Saccharomyces cerevisiae S288C: one gene and its partners. Changing the gene in region 2 together with the main gene of any one other region gives a genetic interaction. Each region holds a gene or a part of one and is shown on either strand. Other genes may lie near its edges.

Region 1 (5,200 bases), on a different chromosome or scaffold from region 2:
AAAAAAGTGTTAAAAAAGAACTGAAAAAGAAGGCTTCGCATTCGAGTTTATCAAAATTCAGGAAAAGTCCCAAGAAAAAGCCCCAAGAAGCGGAAGTTGAACGCCCTTCATCCCCCACCAAAACAATTACCACCGAAGATATAGATACAGCAAGCGTCATTGAACCAGAAGTGAGAAGTTCAAATGCTTCCACCCTTCTTCCTGACAGCCATACTAGCCACAGTTCTGAATTTGTGGTGGAAACTATAAGCGAGTTAGATGGCGACGATTCATTTGATATTAGTGGTGGTGATGTAAACTACGACGTCGAAGTGCACTCTAGTATCAGTAGAGATACGACAGCTGGACTAGAAGAGGATATAGGAGCAGAGAGAGAAGACAACACTTCACCTACTGCCCCTCAAATCTCAACTTTGCCTCCAAGAAAATTGACATTTGAAGATGTCGTTAAACCAGATTACTCAAACGCTCCAATAAAATTCACAGACAGTGCTTTTGGATTCCCATTACCAATGATAACCAACTCTACAGTGATTATGTTTGACCATCGTCTAGGAATTAATGTTGAAAGGGCTATTTACAGACTCAGCCATCTGAAGCTTAGCGATCCCGGGAGGGAATTAAGACAACAAGTATTGCTAAGTAACTTCATGTACTCCTACTTGAATTTAGTCAATCATACCTTATACATGGAGCAGGTGGGCACTGGAGATATAGCCTTCAATGGTGATTCTGCCTTGGGAATGATGGACAAAAATGATTCTGATGGCACAATCTTAATTCCAGACATTTAACTCATAACTGTTTACAAGATTGATAGATACCTATATAAGGCCACATATTTCAAGTATTGTAAGGATGCCCTTTTAGTGTCAAACTTCTTATTATCACGAAAAACGTCGTCTTTTCATGCAAGGAAGGACTACAGTATATACATATAAATATATATTTATGTAATTATTTTTTTCTTTTTTTTTAAATTTTCTAGCGAGAATGAAGAAAAGCCGACCTCATCTCATCCTATTTGGAACAAATTCGAATGATCTGTCCAATACAGCAAGGCTACCTTGCGGTTGAATTCTATCTCGTACTACACTAAGACGAAAGAGAAAAACGAAATGTCCAAGAGTAATACTTATAGGATGCTCGTCTTACTAGAAGACGACACCAAGATAAATAAAGAAGATGAAAAATTTTTGAAAGGTAAGCCGGGAAAAATGCATGAATTTGTTGACGAGTTGATACTTCCATTTAATGTTGACGAACTGGACGAATTAAATACCTGGTTTGATAAGTTCGATGCCGAAATATGTATACCGAACGAAGGTCATATCAAATACGAAATTAGTAGCGATGGTTTAATTGTACTTATGCTAGATAAGGAAATTGAAGAGGTTGTCGAAAAAGTAAAGAAATTTGTCGAAGAGAATAACTGAAATAATGATGTTGCTTCGGTTTTTTGCATGAATATAACGTGACTGTTGCGTATGCATATGTGCACGTAATTTAAAGAGAGAGTGACAGAATCTGCGCATCAGCATGGGGGCATATACAAGCATATGAGAATTTGGATAATGTATTACATCTAATTTATAAAGTTTGTAGAACAGCCTCTAATTTATTTAGTCTTTCTCCCACGCCCAATTTCGTTATTAGTTTGTCCTCCTTGCCGATTAACTCCAGCAACATTGTGGGCAACAACTCTTTGTTGTAATACCGACACCATAGAGCGTGTCCGTTAAATTCTGTATATTCTAACTTCTTCAGGGATGCTCGATGAAAGCAAGCCGTGCATTGAACCAGATCATCCTTCTGGAATTTCGTGTAGCCGAGAAGCAACAGACCTACGAGAGAATAGTCTTTACAATCGAAAAAAAATGCCAATTTTTGTATTTCTTTCTCAGACAAGTAATGAAATATACGGGAAGAGTTTCTTTTAAGGCTAAATTCATTTGATCCGGAAACAATTCTGTCAATTTCTGTATGAATTCTTTCAATTTCCCTTATAAGGTTTTGTGAGCTTAAATAATACTCTTTGTTTAAATCAACCTGATTTTCCCTCCACGGACACTTTTGGAGATGATTTCCAATTATATTGGAATTCCAGATTTTTTCATTCAATTTCATGGTGTAATCGGCGACATCATCGCCATTTTTTAATAAAGGAATTGTCATAATGGCATGGCAACAACAGCACTTAAATGGCACTTGCGACTGGGATGCACTTTGGTACGGCTCCCAGCCCTTGGATGCTAGAGTCAGTGGATTGACCCATCGAACGTCCCATTCAATGAGCACATGCCTTGTGTAGTTTTGAATGGAGCATATTCTTTTCAACAAGGCCCGAAGATCGTGTAATCGGAAACCAACAAAATGTTTAGAGCTTTCTTGTACCAAATCATCATACAATTGCACGTGGCTCTTACATTTTTCAGGCAACATTGAACTGCCATTATGGGATTTCTTCTTGTACCTCCATTTGGTAATAAGTCGCTCTCCTAGAGTATTCCTATATTTTCCCGGTAAAAGTTTGGTATTCTTGTCCAGCGAATGTCTAATAGACTTCAGTCTAACCTCCAATGCGTCCTTTTCCATTAGTAACTGCCCTACTTTCCTGTCAATTCCTGGGGAATAATGTTTTATTTCTCCTTTACCATAGATTTCAAGATGACAGTTACTTTCGTTCCGAATGACTAGCGCTTGAAAATTTTTCAAACATTTTCCATATTCAATAAGCAAAACAAAGAGCATTTTGATTTGATAACAATTGTTTGGTAGTTTGATCTCATCATCAATCAGAGGTTTTTAACAAATTTATTTTTTGAATACATTTCAAAAGGAAATTGCATTTTGTCTTTTTTTTTTTGGGAGAATTTTGTGGGGTATTTCAATCATTGTTCCAACTTTACGTTCCTTTTTTGAATAAAGACACTTCTTATTATTAACAGGCTTTTATTTGTCAAATAAGATTCATTCAAAATTTCCATAAAGCATTACTTCTGCGATATACTACTAACGGAATTTTGGTTGCGTATTATTGTGTCTGACATTGTATGAAGGATACACAAAAAAATTAAAGATTAAGAAAGTTATTCAAAATGCCTATTATGTTGGAAGACTACCAAAAGAACTTTCTAGAGTTGGCCATCGAATGCCAGGCTCTAAGATTTGGTTCATTCAAGTTGAAATCAGGTAGAGAATCGCCATATTTCTTTAATTTGGGATTGTTCAATACTGGTAAATTGCTTTCCAATTTGGCTACTGCGTATGCAATTGCCATCATACAATCTGATTTGAAATTTGATGTGATTTTCGGTCCTGCCTACAAAGGTATCCCACTTGCTGCTATTGTTTGTGTGAAATTGGCGGAGATTGGTGGCTCTAAATTTCAAAACATTCAGTACGCTTTTAACAGAAAGGAAGCCAAAGATCATGGTGAAGGTGGTATCATTGTCGGCTCTGCCCTAGAGAACAAGAGAATATTAATCATCGACGACGTCATGACTGCTGGTACTGCCATTAACGAGGCCTTTGAGATCATCAGTAACGCCAAGGGTCAGGTAGTTGGCTCCATAATTGCTCTTGATAGACAGGAAGTTGTGAGTACTGACGATAAAGAAGGACTCAGCGCCACTCAAACTGTTAGCAAAAAATACGGTATCCCAGTCTTGAGCATTGTCTCCTTAATTCACATAATTACCTATTTGGAAGGCAGAATAACAGCAGAAGAGAAAAGCAAGATCGAACAATACCTTCAAACCTACGGTGCCTCCGCTTAAAAATCAGTTTTTTAATTAAATGATTTATTTATCTCTTTTAAGAACTATTAATCTTAGTTACTACGATACATGCACGCCGCTCATCTATATATGTGTATAAATAGCGTATATTCACACACATATATATAGAGCGAGAGAGTTTTCTTGTTACTTTTTTCTGTGTTTCGGTACCTCTTGCCTGTAGCTGCTTCAAAACTCTTGGCTTATTGAACTCTGTTTCAACTACAGACGAAATAATACGAATAATTGATTTGTCTTGATGTAAAAATTTAAAAGCTGATACAACAAGTCATTTAGCACTTGATCTGAACAAACATCATATTCTTATAGTTCTGCTATTATAATCTATTAATATATTAATATATTAATCTCAATATACATATACATATACATAAATGGGTAAAGGAGACAATCATCTTCTAACTACTTTGTACTTATTTTTTGGTGGCTTGAACGACTTTTCTGCCGCTGTAATCTTAGGAGTTTCGTAAACAGATTTTGTCATTGGGTGGCCCATCAAGAACGGACTATGCAGCGGAACAATCTCATTCATTTTGAATCCCTTTACACGTGGAATCTTTTTGAATTCAATATTGTCGAAATCAGGGCCATATGGAATCTCCCTTAAAGATTCAATAGTAGTTGGATGTCTTTTCATATACTCCCCAACAGCTTTCATTAATTGCCTCTTTCCACCTTTGAATTTAGTGGCTGCGCCAATTAATTGTCCATTTTCTTTGAAAAGTACACGAATTCTACCAGGATTACCAAAATCTTGTGGGTGACATTTTTCACCTTCAAAAATGCATAATATTCCCAATTCACGGACAGCATCTGCCATAGTTTTAGCCAAAGGATTTTCAACAGCCAACTCCTTAGGAACCCTTCTCCCTTCCTTATGTGATCTGTTTATGTCAAAGTAACATGGATAGAGTACTTGGAATCTTTTGACTTCTTCTAAATCTTTCTTCGAAATAGCCTCCGAACGTTCAACCTTACCAGTTTTTGGGTTAATAAAACTCAACTGCTCTTTTTCGTTGCTACTATTGTTGTTGCTATTACTGTTGTTATTCGTGCCAGGTAAAAATGCAGGGTTCTCTTGGTCCTGGCTCCTTACAACCTTAGGCGTTATCTTGGGAGCGATCGGCGTCCTCAAAGATGGATCTAACTCGGCCAATTCCATATCAAGGTCGTCGATATCATTGAAATCGTCAATCTCTTCTAATCTAGGCATTTTGACTTTATGATACTATAGCTTATGGCTTATTTTATTTCTTTTGATTTCGTTAGTTGCTAGCCTGTTGAATATCATTGATATTTTTTTTTTTTTCAGATTACAAAAGCGTGAAAAATAAATACTTCCCAATTGTTTTAAGAAGAAGTACACAATTTTTAAAGCGGCTGAAGAAGTGTACCAATTT
Region 2 (4,503 bases):
AGATGTCGAAATGCCACACTTTTAATTTTCTCGTTGCGTTTTTTTTTCTTTTTTGCCCTTAGCAGAGGGCAAAAAAGTGACAGAGGAGCCACAACTGCGGCCCGCGTGAACAAAAAACCCCATGATCTTTCTCAATTTTTTATTCGCATGCGACTCCTACATACACGGGACCTGCAAGGTGGTGCGGTGCAGCCACACGGAAGACTATTGTATACATATGTGATTGAAAATGCTTCTTTCCTTGAAAAGAAATAAAGGGATGCTACCTCTTCCTGTGGCACACCTTTCCTTGGACTTTGTATTGAGTAAGGATCCAGACACCTTTAGTGGCGAGCTTGATAATCCAGGTAACACAATATCGCCAATGATTTTTATCAAGTAAGACTATCGCATCCAGAAGATTATTAGTTTAATGTTGTTCGATAAGGCCTATTTTTAGGCTCTTTTTTCAACATTTCCAATCGTCATGTGAAAACTGTACAAGCCACTTAATTTCTCAAAGACCTCGCCACAGAGAAAAGCTCATATCTGTGGCATCACTTACTGCTTCTATGCATTGATAAATCTAGCTAGAATTTTCACCGATATCATGCAAGTAAATGATAGAAAATCATCACAGTTACGCATCAAACACATTTTGAACGTTCCTTTCTTCTTTACGGCAAAGTAAGCATGCCTTTAGCGAGACTGGGGTGAGCTGAAGAAGAACTTGCTGCACTATAGATATGACTTTAGATGTCCGTTATTCAACAATTAAGTGGTTTCGTGGTCTAGTCGGTTATGGCATCTGCTTAACACGCAGAACGTCCCCAGTTCGATCCTGGGCGAAATCAATTTTTTTTTCCGTCAGATATCTCCGTCATTTTCGTTGACGTTTTTTTCTTACCAAGCAAAGATATTTTTAATAAATGCTGAATATCCTTTGTTTGAGGGTAAACATGCCATAAATTTGCAATAAGGGTTACAAATAAAGATTGAGAGCTGTCAATTTGGCGAACAGGGAATGTTTTCTTCACCAATGATCTCCTGAAGCCCCTCAATCTTTCTTGATGTTTATCTCTATTCGTGCCCGTCCGACAATATATTTGACAAGAGAGCTACATGGGAATATTGGTTATGTGCGTAAATACTTGTTCGTTCTCAAAACTCTTATTTAAAGACACATGATTTATTAATTAATTTAGCAAGTTTTTCTAGGAATTCTTTGTCTACGTGGTCGAATCCTTCGTAATCCAAACAATCTATGTCTATGACGCCCAATGTCTTACCATCATTGGATATGATTGGAACAACAATTTCGCTCTTGGTTTCACCGTCGCACGCAATATGACCGGGATACTTGTTGACATCTGGAACAATCTGCGTTTCCTTTGTAGAGGCTGCAGTTCCGCAAACACCTTTACCGAATTGAATCATTTGGCAAGCGACCTTTCCTTGAAATGGGCCCAATATCAGTGTGTTTTCTTCGCTAGCTTGAGTAACGTAAAATCCAGCCCAATTGATATCAACAGCTAATGACTTGTACGCATGCCAGATCAATGACGAAGCGTTTGACAAATTACAAACCCAATTGACTTGTCCATCTGATAGCCCCTCGTATGAAAGCAGAAGCTGTTCTAGAATTTCTTCCTTATTCAGATTTGAAGAATAGTTAACATGATCGGCATGATGAAACCCGGTTGATGAGCCCATATCTGTTTGTTTTTTTTTGTTTTTTTTTCTAATTTACGGATTTGTTTTATCAGCAAACGCCTTTGTTTGCTTACATTTGGGAAAATCGTCATCATATAAACATGAAGAAACCGATGATATTAGCGTTCGTTAAAAAGGATAATACTTCGTTGTAAACTCAACTGTAAATATCTTTCTTCATTTCCTCCAAACATGGTTTTCTAACTGCAGGGAATAGGTAAACCTTTGCGTTTGTGTTCTTTCTGCATCACGGTGGGCCTTGCCCTCTGTTAAGTCAATATTAAAAGATAAGATAAGAAAAGAATGAAAACGAATAAATAATTATTGATATTTAATGCGCAGAGAAAATACAAAACTTATAAGCTACCTGGATAGTTATCTTTTACAAGGCGAGCCATTTCTTGGCCTCTTTCTCCACCAAATTCTTTGAATTTTCAACATATGCCTTCAACATTAATCTGTGATTTATTTTGGTCGAATTTGAACTTTGATTGAATATGGGTAATACTGATTTCAAGCCCGACAATGTTTTGAAGCATAGCATTGATATAATAATCTGGGGCATCAGAAACGCTCCACTTTACTTCGTACATTTTCCCCCTCAGGTCTTTTCTCTTCTTCTTGGTCAGTCAAAGTTGATAACATATTAATAAGCCAGTCTTTATCGTCGCGGATAATCCTTGGTGTACCGTAAACGTGCACAGCGGCAAAATCCCATGTTGGTACGAACTTATGGGTCTTTTTCTTCATTGGGAACCACGCCGGAGAAATGTATGAATCGACGCTCTGAAATACCACTAAGCATTTTTGAACTCTTTCCAGCATTTCCACATGTTTATTCTTCCGTGCTAAATGTGCAATAAGTTTATGCTCTCCATTATCGAACTCCACGAATACAAATGGAATATGTGATGCGCACATACCAAAATCGGGGTCATCTTTATTGGAAGAAGTTCTCCATCCGAAGAAACCTTGCCTGCTAGCCTTAGAGGAGAATAGTGTTCCTAGCGGGGGTTTTTTTGATAATTTGTACCTTGAGAGTTCCATGGACTCAAAATGTTTAGGAATGTACATTATGAAATAGATTCTTGGATTCTTCTCAGACTGGCAATTTATGTCTATAATATTAAGGGATGGTTTTCGGCGAATATGCAGAATCTTCGGTTCTAGGACCAGTTATATACCATCCTAATTAAAATCAGAGGACATAATAGAGATAGTTTCAAATCTGGTTAAGCGTTAAAAGATCAGCATACAAAGTGATGCCACAAAATACCTTCTTAAAGGGGCGTGAGGCAAAAGCAAAGTCACATCATATAGCACCTACCAATAAAAAAGTGTATTACACAAAGGTATATTCCGTATCTGAGTTGTATATAAGTAGCCAAATTTGCACTTATCTAAAAGACGCCTTCGCTGCCGTCATAGTTGAAGAACTTTCCATTATCTTCTGGTAAAATTTTTCGGAAGACATCAATTAGCGCAGAGGCACTTTCTTCTGGTGTGATAATATTTACGCCGCTGATGTCTATATTCTTCTCTTTAAAATGATCAAGGCCATATTGGCCCATATCAGTAGATACCATACCTGGGTGAAAAGCAACGACAGTAAAACCCTCCGGTTTCAATTCAAAACTGAGCGTCTTTACCGCATAATTCAAGGCAGCTTTCGATTGACCATAAGCGGAAACAGAAAGTGGTACAAACGCATTGATAGATCCTGCAACACTAGAGATAAAGAATATCTTCCTCGTCTTTTTCAAAAGAAGCAGTGGATAAACTTTTTGAAGGGCTAGTATCGGACCCAGAGCGTTTGTGCTATAATGGTTGAGCCAGACTGATTTGGGAGTTTCCAGGACCTTGTAATAAGAATCAGATACTGCAGAACATGCGATAAAAATATCAATACCCAAGAAGAATGGCGTTTTCTTGATCTCGTCCGCAATATTGCCAATACTTTCGTCCTTTGTAAGGTCAAGTTGGACAATATGGATATTCTTCCTGATTTTTGCTAAATCTTCCACTTGTTTGTTCTTGGGTAATGAAGGTGATCCACGAATAGAGGTTATAACTGTATTGCCCGTAGAAGCGCTTAAAATTTTGACCAAATTAAAACCAATTCCACGGCTACCACCGATGATAAAGTAAGTTATTCTTGATGAAGTATTCATATCGACTTTGTTTGCTTAGAATTCTACTGATTTATGCCACTGGTAAAGGCTTTATTCTTAAAAACGTCAAAAATTAGTTTTGAAGCATCGCCGCCTATTTATTATAACTGGTATACTATCTTACTTATTAGTACTACCATTTATACCGCTATGCATTACTAATCACATTACTAATCTCATTACTAATCTCATTACTAATCTCATTGCTAATCTCATTACTAATCTCATTACAAATAACTTTCTATTGAGGTATTTCTAGGGAATTGCGAAGTTGGTTTGCTTTTTATGAGACCCGCGGACGTTAATCGAAGATATAATCCACGGAAAAATTATATGTCCTGCAATTTGTGCACAGTATATTAATCGGGAACATATATGATTAGATTATTGCAAGTCATGCAAGCTAAAGTAAAACAAGCAATATCAGGAGCTCATAGATATATCATGCACACATCAGGTAGAAGATAGGAAATTATAGAAGATCTGAAGAAATTAGAAGAACTAAGCTCGACTAGCCTAATAGGAAAATGGTGTCCCTTATTTAACCTGAGAAACCAATATTTCGTAGTATCTTCTTTTTTTCTTCCATGGTAATGAGTCCAACAAACTTTGAGCTTCTAAAAAATATAAACTCCAAATG
Region 3 (6,538 bases), on a different chromosome or scaffold from region 2:
ATGACAGGAGACCCCATATTTCCTGGTTGTAATGGCATAGTGTTGTTAGCTGGCGCTATACGATTAGTGTCTGGAGGAAAGGCACTATTTTGTAATTGCTGGTTAGCCGCCATTCTTTGCATCATCATATGCATGTACTGCTGTTGAGATGTTATATCACTAACAACCGGATTTGCGACAGTGCTTTGATTTTTCATTTGTTGAGGAATTGTTTTCATCTTATTGAAGCGGGCTCGTATGTGTTCTTGCAATAAACTATTGCCATTTGCGTTATTGTCATTTGTGGGCGTAGTTTCTTCCGCAGTATTGTTACGTGTATTAGATTGATAATTTTGATTTCCAAGATTTTGCTGTAGTGAATTTTGCTGTAGTGCTTGCTGCTGAAAAAACATTTTCATAGCGTTCATGTCATCAAACCTGCCAGATTGGCTTTGCTGAAAAGATGGCGCCTGTCCTTGATTTTGGTGGTGTAATTGATATTGAAAGAAGCGCTGCTGGTCTGAAAACATTGAAGATTGGGTTTGTGCATTAAATTGTTGATTTGTAGGAGGCACTGAAGGCATAAGTCCGGTTGAATGAGAATTTTCCGATGGAATATGAGGGACCATTTGTGGGTTGACAATAGGATACGGTGTCTGTTGCTGCTGTTGATGTTGTTGCTGTTGCTGTTGCTGTTGCTGCTGTTGCTGTTGCTGTTGCTGTTGCTGTTGTTGTTGTTGTTGTTGCTGTTGCTGTTGCTGTTGCGGTTGATGCTGGGGTTGATGCTGAGGCTGCTGGATCTGCTGTTGAGATGATTGCTGGGGCTGTGCTGGTGATTGCAAATCATTGAAGTGTTTATGTAGATTTATAGTTGCGTACTGCTGCCCAGCAATATCACTGTTTATAGCAGTATCAGGTGCAAAATTAGCGCTATTCTGTTTGTCGTAGACACCGGAAGTTCTCGATAGAAATCTTTCGGAGACGTTTCGATTGGTTGGATCGTTTAAATTAAAGTTACTTCCGTCACCATTGGGCCTAAAACTCTCCTCTGAAACTGGAAAACTATTTTGAGTTGGTGGAATCACATTTGGTGGGAGATTAGAGAAATGGGAAGGCATATTAGATTTAGAATTAGCTGGCAAAATTGGTATTATTCTCTCTCTTAAAGGATTATGATCCTGTTGGTACCCAGATTCTAGGTCTCCATTGAACAATGATTGAAAAATTTCCCACCATTCCAGTAAAAACGTGTCATTAGCGTCCATCAGCATTTTCGAAGGTAATAGCCCATCTTCACTAACAATGTCACCCTTAGATGCAATATCCATTAATCCCTGCTTCAGGCTGGCGTTCAAGCTAGTTTTCCCACCCGAAGCAGATCCGTTTATTCTAGATAAAGGAAGGTCAGCTTCGCTTAAAAATTTTGCGGCAGAGTTCCAGTAATTGTTTTTGATTAAATAGTTATAAATATGGGCGTACAATAATTGCTTAGAGTTCTTAGCCATTACATCCGAAACGAAAACTCGAGAATCCGCATCAAACTGCAACTGAGTATGGCTATTCAAACCTTTGATATTGGGAGCTGAGCTAAAATCCGTGTTACTAGAGCGCTCATTTGTATTAATATTGGTCGTGTTATCCATATCTTTATCATGCACCTTTTTCTTATTTCACTGCAGTTTAACGAAAAATTGACAAAAGAACCGGGAGATACCAAAGGGAAAAACCAAAAGAGTCACACAGGATTGCAATAGAAATCTTTCTGGTCTTTTCTACTATGGTGATTTTATTATACCCCTCCTCTTCCTGTTATACACGCATTGTATTTCGGCATTGCCTCTTGGCCGCTTTTTTCACCTGACGTAATACCTGTTGCAGCAAGCGAGTTTCGTGTGCGTATAGAAAAGTATTTACCTTGACATTTCGAAGAAGTATGTAATTACCAAATAGCTCAGAAGAACACTTGGTACGTAACAATCATCGTTTACCTTTTTCTTCTATCAAAAAATTTTCTTCTTTTTTTTTTCCTTCTCTTTTCTTAAATAAAATTGAAAAATTGTTACTTAGTACTTCATAATTTTACTTAATATGCAGTATGGATCGTTATAAATAATATTCGGCTACAAGAATCTTTAATCTTCGAATTCATCTTCGTCGAATTCATCGTCATCGAATTCATCGCTTACTCTTGAATCCAAATCTTTATCGTCCATTGAGTTGTGGGGTAGCTGATTGCGCCCTGTTTCATTAACACTTTGCTCCCTTCGTGATTCGGTATCTGAATTCCCAAGTGAATGTACGTCATTTGAAACGTTGATCTTTGAAACAATTCTTGTTGGAGCGCCGGCCTTTGACACAGAGAGCTTTTTGAACTCTTTATCGATACTAGTCGCGGCTGCAGAAGATGCTCTCCTTGATTTAGTTCTATTGTAATTGGAGTCTTCATCATCCATATCGTCTAAATATCTTAGTTTTGGCGATGCAAGTGGAGAACCTAGCTCCAAATATATTTGTTTTCCAATGTCCCCTTTGGACATTGTAGATTTATTGGGCGTGGATCCTGAGCTACTATGGGAACTCACCAGGTCAGACGCATTTTCTACATCAGACGAAGCGGCTAAAACTTCGTTGTTATTTGTGCTGCCGCTCACATTTCTTTGCGGGGCTTTAGTGACCTTGGCGGTTTTGACTGAATTTGCCCTATTTCTACTAATGTTGCTTTGTTGTGATACGTCAGTATCTTCATCGATGTTATCAGAATCATCATTGCTAATATCCGATAAGTTGTCGATGTCGACTAACGGGTCTCTCCAAAAATTTACGTCTGTGAATTTCTCTTCCTGATTGCCTCTAAATAGCGTTTTGCGACCTGAAGTAATTTCTGAGTCAAAGTTATCCAACGTTCTATTAGGGGGGGAGCCAGGAACCATGGAAGTATTAGTTCTTAGATCGACACTATCAAGGCTGACTGGTGGAAAGAAATGATCGACAAGCTCATTGATATGAATATAGGAGCTTCTGTAACCTGCTAACTCCAATAATTCCATATGAACCTCACCCTCTGTATTTATTGTGAAAATTCTTGAACTAGGTATCCCCACAGTTCTGTAAGATAAAGCATCAGTAATCCTATTACCAAAGCCGGCAAAAAATGGTGTTGATTTTTCCTCTGTATCCACTTCGTTATCACTGTCTTCAAAATACAAGGATCTTATGTCGTTTAGACACGCGATTTTAAAGACTTCAGGTTTTTTTAGTATTACTTCCCGCCTTAACGCAGCCATCGTTCTATCGGGTGATAAAATCACAGGCCCATTTGGTAGTTTGCTGCCATTCTGTTCAATTGATCGCAAATAACTCCTCGTGGAATCAGCTTGTCCAGCACTTCTTGCAGTTAGATAGAGTATATTATAGCCATTCCTGGAGATCTCGCTAAATAACTTGGCTACACCCAAGTGCGTCCAGTCTTTTCCTATCATTGCCAGAACATGGCCTAAAGCGTCCGATTTTGTGATGGTGCCATCAATATCACTGATAACAATTGGAACATCCCACCTCCAAACGAATAATTTTGACGTAACAATAGCTTTTCCGTGATCTACGGAAAATTTCAGATCATTTTCACCATAAGTTAAATTTAGGCACTTTAACTGGTCATTAGTCAATCTTATCGTTCGTATGTATCTTTTCTCGGTCTCACCGCTCCCTGCTGTTCCTTTCTTGCTAGTTTTTTCACTTTTACTGCTTTGTTCTTTGCTAAATGATGTTTCGTCCTCAGTATCGGAACCAGAAGGTGAAGAAGATAACGAATTCAAAGTACTTCCTGATTCCATTGCATCTAAGCCTAAAACTGATCCGCTTGTGGCCATTGTTGGAGGCGTACCTGGAGGAGATAAATCAGTAAGGTGCTCGTAAGGATTTACGATCTTGATGTTGCCATTTTTGTCCTCCTTGATAAAACTGGAAATATCTGAATCATTACCGAATTCGTCCTTTAACAACTGCTTCAGTTGTATGTCTGTGTCATGCATCATATTCTTGTTTGGCTTGTAACCTTCAGTGTCTAGTAGTAAGTCGCCATTGTTATCAAGTTTACTGGGTATATGGATTTCAGTGAGTTTTTTGTTTAGTTTTTGCTGAAAGTTCTTTGTACGCTGCTCAACAAGCTTCCTCTCTTCAACTGAATCTGGTGGTGTCGTTGTAGAGGATTCAGTAGGAGAAAGCGACCCTGTAGTTTCACTATTTTTACTGCCTGAATCTCCAGTGTCATTGATATCTAAAAAATCTGGTTCCTCTAGCACTTTCTTTTCCTTCTTCTTATTTTCATTTTCACCTTCACCTTCACCCTCGGTTCCTCCTTCTAAGATGGATGTTTCAGGTGATTGAGGGGGGCTTGATGTGGCGCTCATCACGGGCGACACAAGCAATTCGTCAGGGACATCAGTGACCTGGTCACCCATCTCGAAAACGAAATAGGCTTCTCCAGAATCACTCAGTTTCATTGGCATATTACTCAGTTTCTCATTTATAAACACTTGGACTTTCTTTTGAGATGGCTTTAGAATTTGAAATTTGCCGAACCTCACATGAAAGGGAGAACATGATAGCCTTCCGTCTGGATGCTCCACTACAATGACATCTATAGCACCTGATAGCGTAGCCGGATTGATAGAAGACCATGTTTTAGACACAGACCCAAGAGCTCTGCCTACGTACTGCATAATCGACCGATGTGTCTATCTTCAGTAATTTCTTCCCTGTATGTTTCTTAGAAGGTAAAACTGTGATTACGAAGGTGTAGTGTCCAATTGGTCTGATTAACACTTCTTGAACACGTTTTACTAAATTGTTGAATGTATTTTCTTTATAAACACAAGCCCCCACGATGGCCTACTCTTCACTTGTCCTTGCTCTTCCTTCTACCCTCACCGTGCGCTGCTTTCAACGCTGGCCGGAAAAGCCGAGAAAAAGAGATAGATAATAGAGAAAAGAGAGCCCATTGTCTAAAGGGAGGGAAACCGAAGGACGAAAAGGGCCCGCGACAGACCGTTTAGAGAATGAGCAGCACGTGGGCACTTCGATTTTGTCTCCCAGTGATGTAGTGTTATGATATACAAGATGAGTTTGGACCCTGTTCAAGCAAATCTGTCACATTTGTTAGACTTTTTTTTAAACGAGCCCTCCAAACAAGAACGCTCAGTGTTAGGAACTGCGAACGAAGAGAGAAATGCGTATTAAACTTAGATGAGTATTCTTGCCGTAAATGACTATATACAAAACTTATTCGGAAGAACCTATATCTATGTATGTGAAATGATAAGTACAAGACCCACTGTGATGTGCAGTGATGGCGAATAGGGTGAGGTCCCTTGTACTGTCTTTATTGTAGCCGCTTGTAGGAAAAGTTTTATCACATAAAATTATCCTCTAGAGAGTTAGATGAGCCAGAAATCAGGCTCTTAGTCCGTTGGAAATGCGTTACTTAATCCGCGTAGGGTCATTTGATACAGAAGCAACATTATACTGCTCTGAACACTTGTCCAGACGAATCTAGGGCCAACGCCACTAAAGAAACCTAACACACCTTCAGATTGGTAGACCGTCCGAAGGCTGAGCGAAATCGAGTTGGAAAGTGCTGCCGGTCTGCCGTTTGTTACATGTGGATGTGTTACTGAGTATGATTTGTTGCTTTGGCTGGGCGGCTGTTGAGTTTGGACTCTAGTCTTAACAACATCCATTGGTGTGGTAATGATTCCCGCCAGTCCACCTGCACAGGCACCAGTCAATATTTCATTAGGTATAGACAACTCACCATCCCTACCATCTTTCTGTTCAATCTTGAAAGCCAATTGCCTAAACTTTTCGTAGAAGGCAAACTGCAATGCACTAAATGGCAAATCTCTGGCTAAAGTGGCTTTGTATCCAAAAAATAGTGAGCGAAACCCTTCTTCTTTTATAACTGTCTTTATGGCATTTCTTAAATTCGAATAATTATAGCCAGATTGAAAGAAAGGATTATTGAACCTTCCTTGCAATTGTAGCCTTGTCTTTAGGACCTCTGATGGAACATAAACAAAACTGGAGATAAAATCGCCAAGAAATCCAGCGCTCAAATGTGTGATGGTATCGTTAATCTGCCAATCTTCTATCATTGTTCTCTTAGTATATTCATAGGTCCCAAAGAAGATTGCCGCTGACGGGAAGGAGCCTAACATGGCAGCCATGTAACCGCCGTATAGCCCCCTTCTCACGCCTTCTTCTAGCCAAATGGTACGATATGCAGAGATCATGTTCCTGTATTTTTTGACATTGGGTGCGCCCTGTTGTCTTGTCTTAACAGTATCCAATGAATGCATCGCAGAATCTCCTATTTTTCCACCAATCCCACCGGAGACGACACAATGCCATATAGGGCTTAAGTCCTCATCTGAATCGCCTCTTTTTTTGTGCAGTTTATCATCTTTTCGGTTATTATTTGGTTGATCTGGAGTTCCTTCTGATGTCGGGGGATGGTCATGAGGCGTATGTATTATCGGTATTGAAGAACTCAGGTTCCATG
Region 4 (5,656 bases), on a different chromosome or scaffold from region 2:
AAGATATTCTGGTAATTTCTTATTCTAATTCTAGGAGGCAACACTCCATAACTAAATGTTTATTATAATAATATTAATATAAAGTTAATATCTCTTAGGTTACACGCAACTAAACTTTTTTTATATATACTGGTTGCATTGTATTTTTATCATATATCTTAATATAGGTTGTTTAAGGTTCGTTAATTCAAAAATAATGTTTTTTTGTTTGCCCAGTCGGTTTACGCTAATCAAGAACATGGATTCAATATCTTACATAATAAGCGGACGATGAGTCTATCTCGGTTTCCTCTTTTCTGAAATATAATAGTTTTATATTAGTGATTCATTATTACGATCTGGCCGGCTTATCATTGCTTCTTTTACAAACGTATCCTTTTAAGATTTTATCCGGACCACTGAGCTGGCATTTTTCTTAGCTTGCTTTTGTCTTTGTTGCACGGGCGACTGAACTTCTTGGAAAATCATGTAAGCCGCAATTGCTTACTAAGTCAAAATTCTAATGGATTCTCCTCTCGAATAAAATTGAATAGTCTGAGCAGTGAAAAAAATGTATATCTTATGTGTGAATGTTATATACCATAATCTAACGAAAGATAGCGAATTAAAGACCGGTCTGTGGCACTCGTAAATATTACCAACAAAGAAAGTTCCCAATATAATCATATAGAAAATGTCAAATTCTCCAACAGTAGCAACTTTGTCACAAGAATATTTCGATCCGAATATTCCTCAAATACTCCCACACGAGAAAATGTATAAGATTCAGGTGGGGAAATCATTATTCAAAATCAGCGGTGCTTCTTTAAGCTCGGATGGTCCTAGTTTCTTCACCGAATATTTTTCTAAGAAGCGCTCTCCTTCCAATAACGATGACAGTAATAACGATACCATGGAATCTAATAAAAATGAGGTTCTATTCATAGACAGATCAGCCGAAGTTTTTGAATGGATCTATCAACATTTGCAAGGATATATAATTGAGATTAAGGATGAAGTACAATATACCATGCTTTTCGCAGATGCGATGTACTACAATTTACCGCGATTGCGATCTTTACTGAAAGAAACGGACTATTATTTTACCAACATTGGTGGACAATCATTCAAGATAGCGAAAAATTTATTTAGAAGAGAAGGAGATTCCCCAAATTATTTCGAAATATATGCGGCTACAGTTTATATCGATGTGGAAGAGCTGATAATATCTAAAAAACTATTAAGGCCTCCATCTCATTCTGCTCCTTACATTCCAAGATCTTCTGAGTACTTCAAAGATTTGCTGACGTTACTGGGAGGAGCATCCATCGATCTAGATGATAATAAAAGAAATGCCTTGATAAAAGAGTGCCGTTATTACAGGCTTTTAAATCTCGAACAGCGGCTAATCAAATCTCATATTAGCTATAACCCAATAACAAGGAAAGAAGAGATTTGCCTCCTATTGAAGGATTTGTCAAAAAAAGGCATCACTTTTCCAGCTTCTTCTGCATTTTCAACCTCGCCCTACTTTGAAGACGATTTCTGTAGCATAAATGAATGCGACTCGCTATCAAAAACCCGTGAACAGCCAGCAAATAAAAAGATTAAACTTGACATGACTGAAAAATATAACGATTCCTGGAATATGCTTTGTTATAAGAGACCTTTTTTAGATAAGCATCCGAGAGAGTTGATATTTCAAATAAATTCGACTGATTGTACGATAATCCTCAATAAGGAAAGCCAAAGTATCCATGTAGACATAACTGGAGAATCCGCCTATAAGTTTGAGGCCTTATTTGGAAGTCATTTGCCAAATACACCCTCTGGTGCGCCTAAGTTGAAAAATTACCAGTATCGGTTCCCATCCGATAGTACGCAGACGAAAATTGAAACTCATTATTTACTTCCAGCATGCATATATCTCTGTGATTTGGACATAAACGGCATTAAGATTTCTCAAGTTCAAACTTTGCTAACTGATAAAAATAAATTCAATGACAGGGTCATTGACGTGTCTGATCCACTTGACCTTAGATTTTGTTCTGGTTTAAAGCTTTACTTAAGAAAGTCTCTCTGGAAACTGGCCGTGAAAGATGGCAATATTATGCTGATAGCTATTAAAGCTATAGCATTTAACGGAACTAAGGAATACTACAAGGGATATGAATATCTGTAGGATTAGCTTGATAAAATTACTCTTCTGCCAAGCTTTTAAGTATATGTATGCTCTCCGTTGTATTTTTTATATGCCATTATAGTACTTGAAGTATAACGGAAACCCATTGTAACTCACATTCCTGTAGTAGCTTCTTTTCTTACTTTTTGTAGGCTCTTGTCTCTTTTCTCTTGTTATTTATCAGTTAATATGTAAGAAAAAAATCGACTTCGGGAATTAGGATACAGACACCTCTTAAAACCAGAGATAAAGTAACGTAGAGAAAATAGTAGGATAATGTGTGCAAAAAGAAGAAACTTTGGTGTCTTAAAATAGATAAAAATAACCCTACTGCCAATTTGAAAGGGCCCGAAAAATGTTTGATAAGTTACCTTATGAGATTTTTAAACAAATTGCCTGGAGAATTCCGCAGGAAGATAAAATTTCGTTAACATATGTATGCAAAAGATCCTATGAATCAATTATACCTTTCATCTACCAGAATTTATTTCTTAATGAAACCTATCACATCAATGGTGACTATGATAACTCATTTGGAACCTGTTATTGGTCTGTCCTAAACTTTCACTACATAGATGAAGATGATTCCAATACTAAAAACGACATGTCGAATAGAAGACTAGCTAAAGTGAAATTTAGTTATTTCGAAAGAACATTAGCAGAGTCACCGAAAAGATTATGTCCCTTAATTAATCGAATACGTTGTACATGGCATTTAAATGAAGATGTGATGACAAATGTACTTAAATTGCTATCCGAGTATGGATCCAATTTGAAATTTGTCGATCAATTTGTTCGCTCATCAGTTAACAAGGGGCTAGAACCTTTATCAAAGCAATTAAAAACTCTAACATTAACGCCACCAACGTTAATGCCCACCCATAACAGTGTAAGCGGTTCTTATTTGAATAAAATTGATCGGTTGCTCTTGAAGTGCGATCTATCTCGATTAGAAAAACTTTCCATTCATATAAACGCATTGAAGTACTTCAAAAATACCGGGTCTCCTATGAAGATCAAAGCATTGGTATTAAATTTGCGACCCGACACACTTAACCTTGCGGAGTACGACGCTTCCGATGACTTCTTAAAAGAGCTAGAATACATCGACATATTTGATGCTTCCACCTTAAGGCAGCTAGAGATTTTGTCTTGGTACAGTCGCGACGATTTTCCCTCTGGCGAAGAAGGTGGTTTTGACAGGTTATATGTCAAATGGGGGCTAGAAGGATTTTGGAAATTTCCGAACATTGAGAAACTATCATTAGCGTCATTGGTTTACAGCGAATTTTTTCTAATGAATTGTTTGGCTGTGTTTCACAATTTAAAGATACTGAAACTTGATTACATGGGTAAATTTGACTTCGATGTGTCGTTGATTAACTTCTTATCTAAACAAGTGTGTGGCAAAAAATTACAGCGTTTTGACATACACTGCCAACTAAATCACAGGCTTTTTTTTCCCATGACAGATAACCCACTAACTCGCTTGAATTTCGATGGTTTCTGCCCTTGTTCAACTTGCAAAAATACAATTCACGAGGTCATTCTAAAAAAAATCTTTCCTGAAACCCGGTCAAAACTTTTAAAGAACCCAAATAAGTTCCAAGCCCATAATTTCTTTTACCAAATGTTTTTCGAGAACAAGATCATGCCCTATACAAACATTATTGACAACGAATCACCTGCGATGGGATGGGATTCTGTACCTATTGAAACGTTTGTACGAAAGTTCAATGAAAATCTGCAAAGCACCATAGAAAATACTGAGAATATTACAGTGAATAAAATTACTAGAGAAGATGCCATTAGTTTGTACCACTTATACCTTCATTATCTAAAAGACGTATTTAAAGTTTTTGAGCAAAGTTTGCCGAACTTAGAATATCTAACCATCAACGGTATACCTACAAAAATAATACAAGTGGACGAGTTACAACGATGCGCGGTTCCCCTCTTCTATAATAATGGCTATAAAAGCAACTCTGTTTATGAATTGGTGGACGCAGAAGCTCTATTTAGTTGATACTGTGAGACATGGCGGTTATAACACGTACATAATGATATATACTCTAAATACTGCAAATTGTCAACAAGAGGAAATCAAAACAAATGGATTGTATAGTCTAGTTAGAGCTTTCTCAGTGTTCTCACTGGATTGCAGTGATGTGACATAGTTCAATAAAACAAATTATGAGCAATAAAAGCAACCGCAGGAGTTTACGTGACATAGGGAATACGATTGGTCGAAATAATATACCAAGTGACAAGGACAATGTCTTTGTGAGATTGAGTATGTCCCCTTTGAGGACGACAAGCCAAAAAGAGTTTTTGAAACCACCTATGAGGATATCACCTAACAAGACAGATGGAATGAAGCATAGTATACAAGTAACACCAAGAAGGATTATGTCGCCGGAATGTCTGAAGGGCTATGTCTCTAAGGAAACTCAAAGCCTGGATAGGCCTCAGTTCAAAAATTCGAATAAAAATGTGAAGATCCAAAACTCAGATCATATAACTAATATAATATTCCCTACATCACCAACCAAACTGACATTCAGTAATGAAAATAAAATCGGGGGTGATGGTTCGTTAACGAGAATACGGGCCCGGTTTAAGAATGGACTCATGTCACCTGAAAGGATACAGCAGCAACAGCAGCAACATATTCTCCCATCGGATGCCAAAAGCAACACTGACCTCTGTTCTAATACTGAGCTCAAGGACGCCCCATTTGAGAATGACCTTCCTCGAGCTAAATTGAAAGGGAAGAATTTATTAGTTGAACTCAAGAAAGAAGAGGAAGACGTGGGAAATGGCATAGAATCCCTTACTAAATCGAACACTAAACTGAATTCCATGCTGGCGAACGAAGGTAAGATACACAAAGCTAGTTTCCAGAAAAGTGTAAAATTTAAACTACCTGATAATATAGTGACTGAAGAAACCGTGGAACTTAAAGAAATAAAGGACTTGCTACTACAAATGTTGAGAAGACAGCGAGAGATTGAATCAAGATTATCCAATATCGAACTTCAACTCACGGAAATACCGAAACATAAGTAATCATATCCCTTCTCACATTTTTTACACAGGAAGTAAGCAAGTTATGTTATATTTCCGACACTATAATTAATTCTTAGCAGTTAAAGGTGCTTTGTCTATATTACATTTACATACAGCTTGAGTGATCCTGACCGGATATAGGGTCCTATTTTCTTACGTGAACGGCTTTTCTTCTTGTTCCCGATGGCCTTCATGTGAAAAAGCACTCCTCGGGAGGCGGAAAAATATCAAAAGTACGGGGCGAAGTTTATAATGAAGATTTATCGATATAAATTTTGGTTATTTCAGGAGAACAAGAAAGCTCTTTACACTAAAATTATCAGAGAAGAAGCTGATATATTAGCCCTAAGGAGTACACCAAAACACAATGAATATTGTCAAATTACAAGTATGTATGCCTTTCTCGAATTCCCACACTGCTGAGCA

Evidence for each region.
Region 1: mutations in YKL069W (region 2) and PML39 together harm fitness more than expected from each alone (negative genetic interaction), as found in Saccharomyces cerevisiae (2 studies listed by BioGRID).
Region 3: mutations in YKL069W (region 2) and PAH1 together harm fitness more than expected from each alone (negative genetic interaction), as found in Saccharomyces cerevisiae (2 studies listed by BioGRID).
Region 4: mutations in YKL069W (region 2) and YDR131C together harm fitness more than expected from each alone (negative genetic interaction), as found in Saccharomyces cerevisiae (2 studies listed by BioGRID).

What each region holds. Positions count from the first base shown.
Region 1 is NC_001145.3:53,675-58,874, forward strand, and holds PML39 (Pml39p), read right to left. Parts: upstream 2,596-5,200; coding exon 1,591-2,595; downstream 1-1,590. Other genes in the region: ZDS2 (Zds2p), read left to right, coding at 1-794; YML108W (uncharacterized protein), read left to right, coding at 1,119-1,436; orotate phosphoribosyltransferase URA5, read left to right, coding at 3,099-3,779; RNA-binding signal recognition particle subunit SEC65, read right to left, coding at 4,192-5,013. UniProt on the Saccharomyces cerevisiae protein: Involved in the nuclear retention of improperly spliced pre-mRNAs.
Region 2 is NC_001143.9:304,474-308,976, reverse strand, and holds YKL069W (L-methionine (R)-S-oxide reductase), read right to left. Parts: upstream 1,693-4,503; coding exon 1,150-1,692; downstream 1-1,149. Other genes in the region: YKL070W (uncharacterized protein), read right to left, coding at 2,257-2,766; OSI1 (Osi1p), read right to left, coding at 3,093-3,863. UniProt on the Saccharomyces cerevisiae protein: Catalyzes the reversible oxidation-reduction of the R-enantiomer of free methionine sulfoxide to methionine. Does not act on S-enantiomer of free methionine sulfoxide or R-enantiomer of dabsylated methionine sulfoxide.
Region 3 is NC_001145.3:587,929-594,466, forward strand, and holds PAH1 (phosphatidate phosphatase PAH1), read right to left. Parts: upstream 4,701-6,538; coding exon 2,112-4,700; downstream 1-2,111. Other genes in the region: MSS11 (Mss11p), read right to left, coding at 1-1,622; MME1 (Mme1p), read right to left, coding at 5,439-6,538. UniProt on the Saccharomyces cerevisiae protein: Mg(2+)-dependent phosphatidate (PA) phosphatase which catalyzes the dephosphorylation of PA to yield diacylglycerol. Required for de novo lipid synthesis and formation of lipid droplets.
Region 4 is NC_001136.10:715,321-720,976, reverse strand, and holds YDR131C (uncharacterized protein), read left to right. Parts: upstream 1-2,516; coding exon 2,517-4,187; downstream 4,188-5,656. Other genes in the region: MRX16 (Mrx16p), read left to right, coding at 674-2,161; FIN1 (Fin1p), read left to right, coding at 4,355-5,230; SAC6 (fimbrin), read left to right, coding at 5,598-5,618. UniProt on the Saccharomyces cerevisiae protein: Substrate recognition component of a SCF (SKP1-CUL1-F-box protein) E3 ubiquitin-protein ligase complex which mediates the ubiquitination and subsequent proteasomal degradation of target proteins. Probably recognizes and binds to phosphorylated target proteins.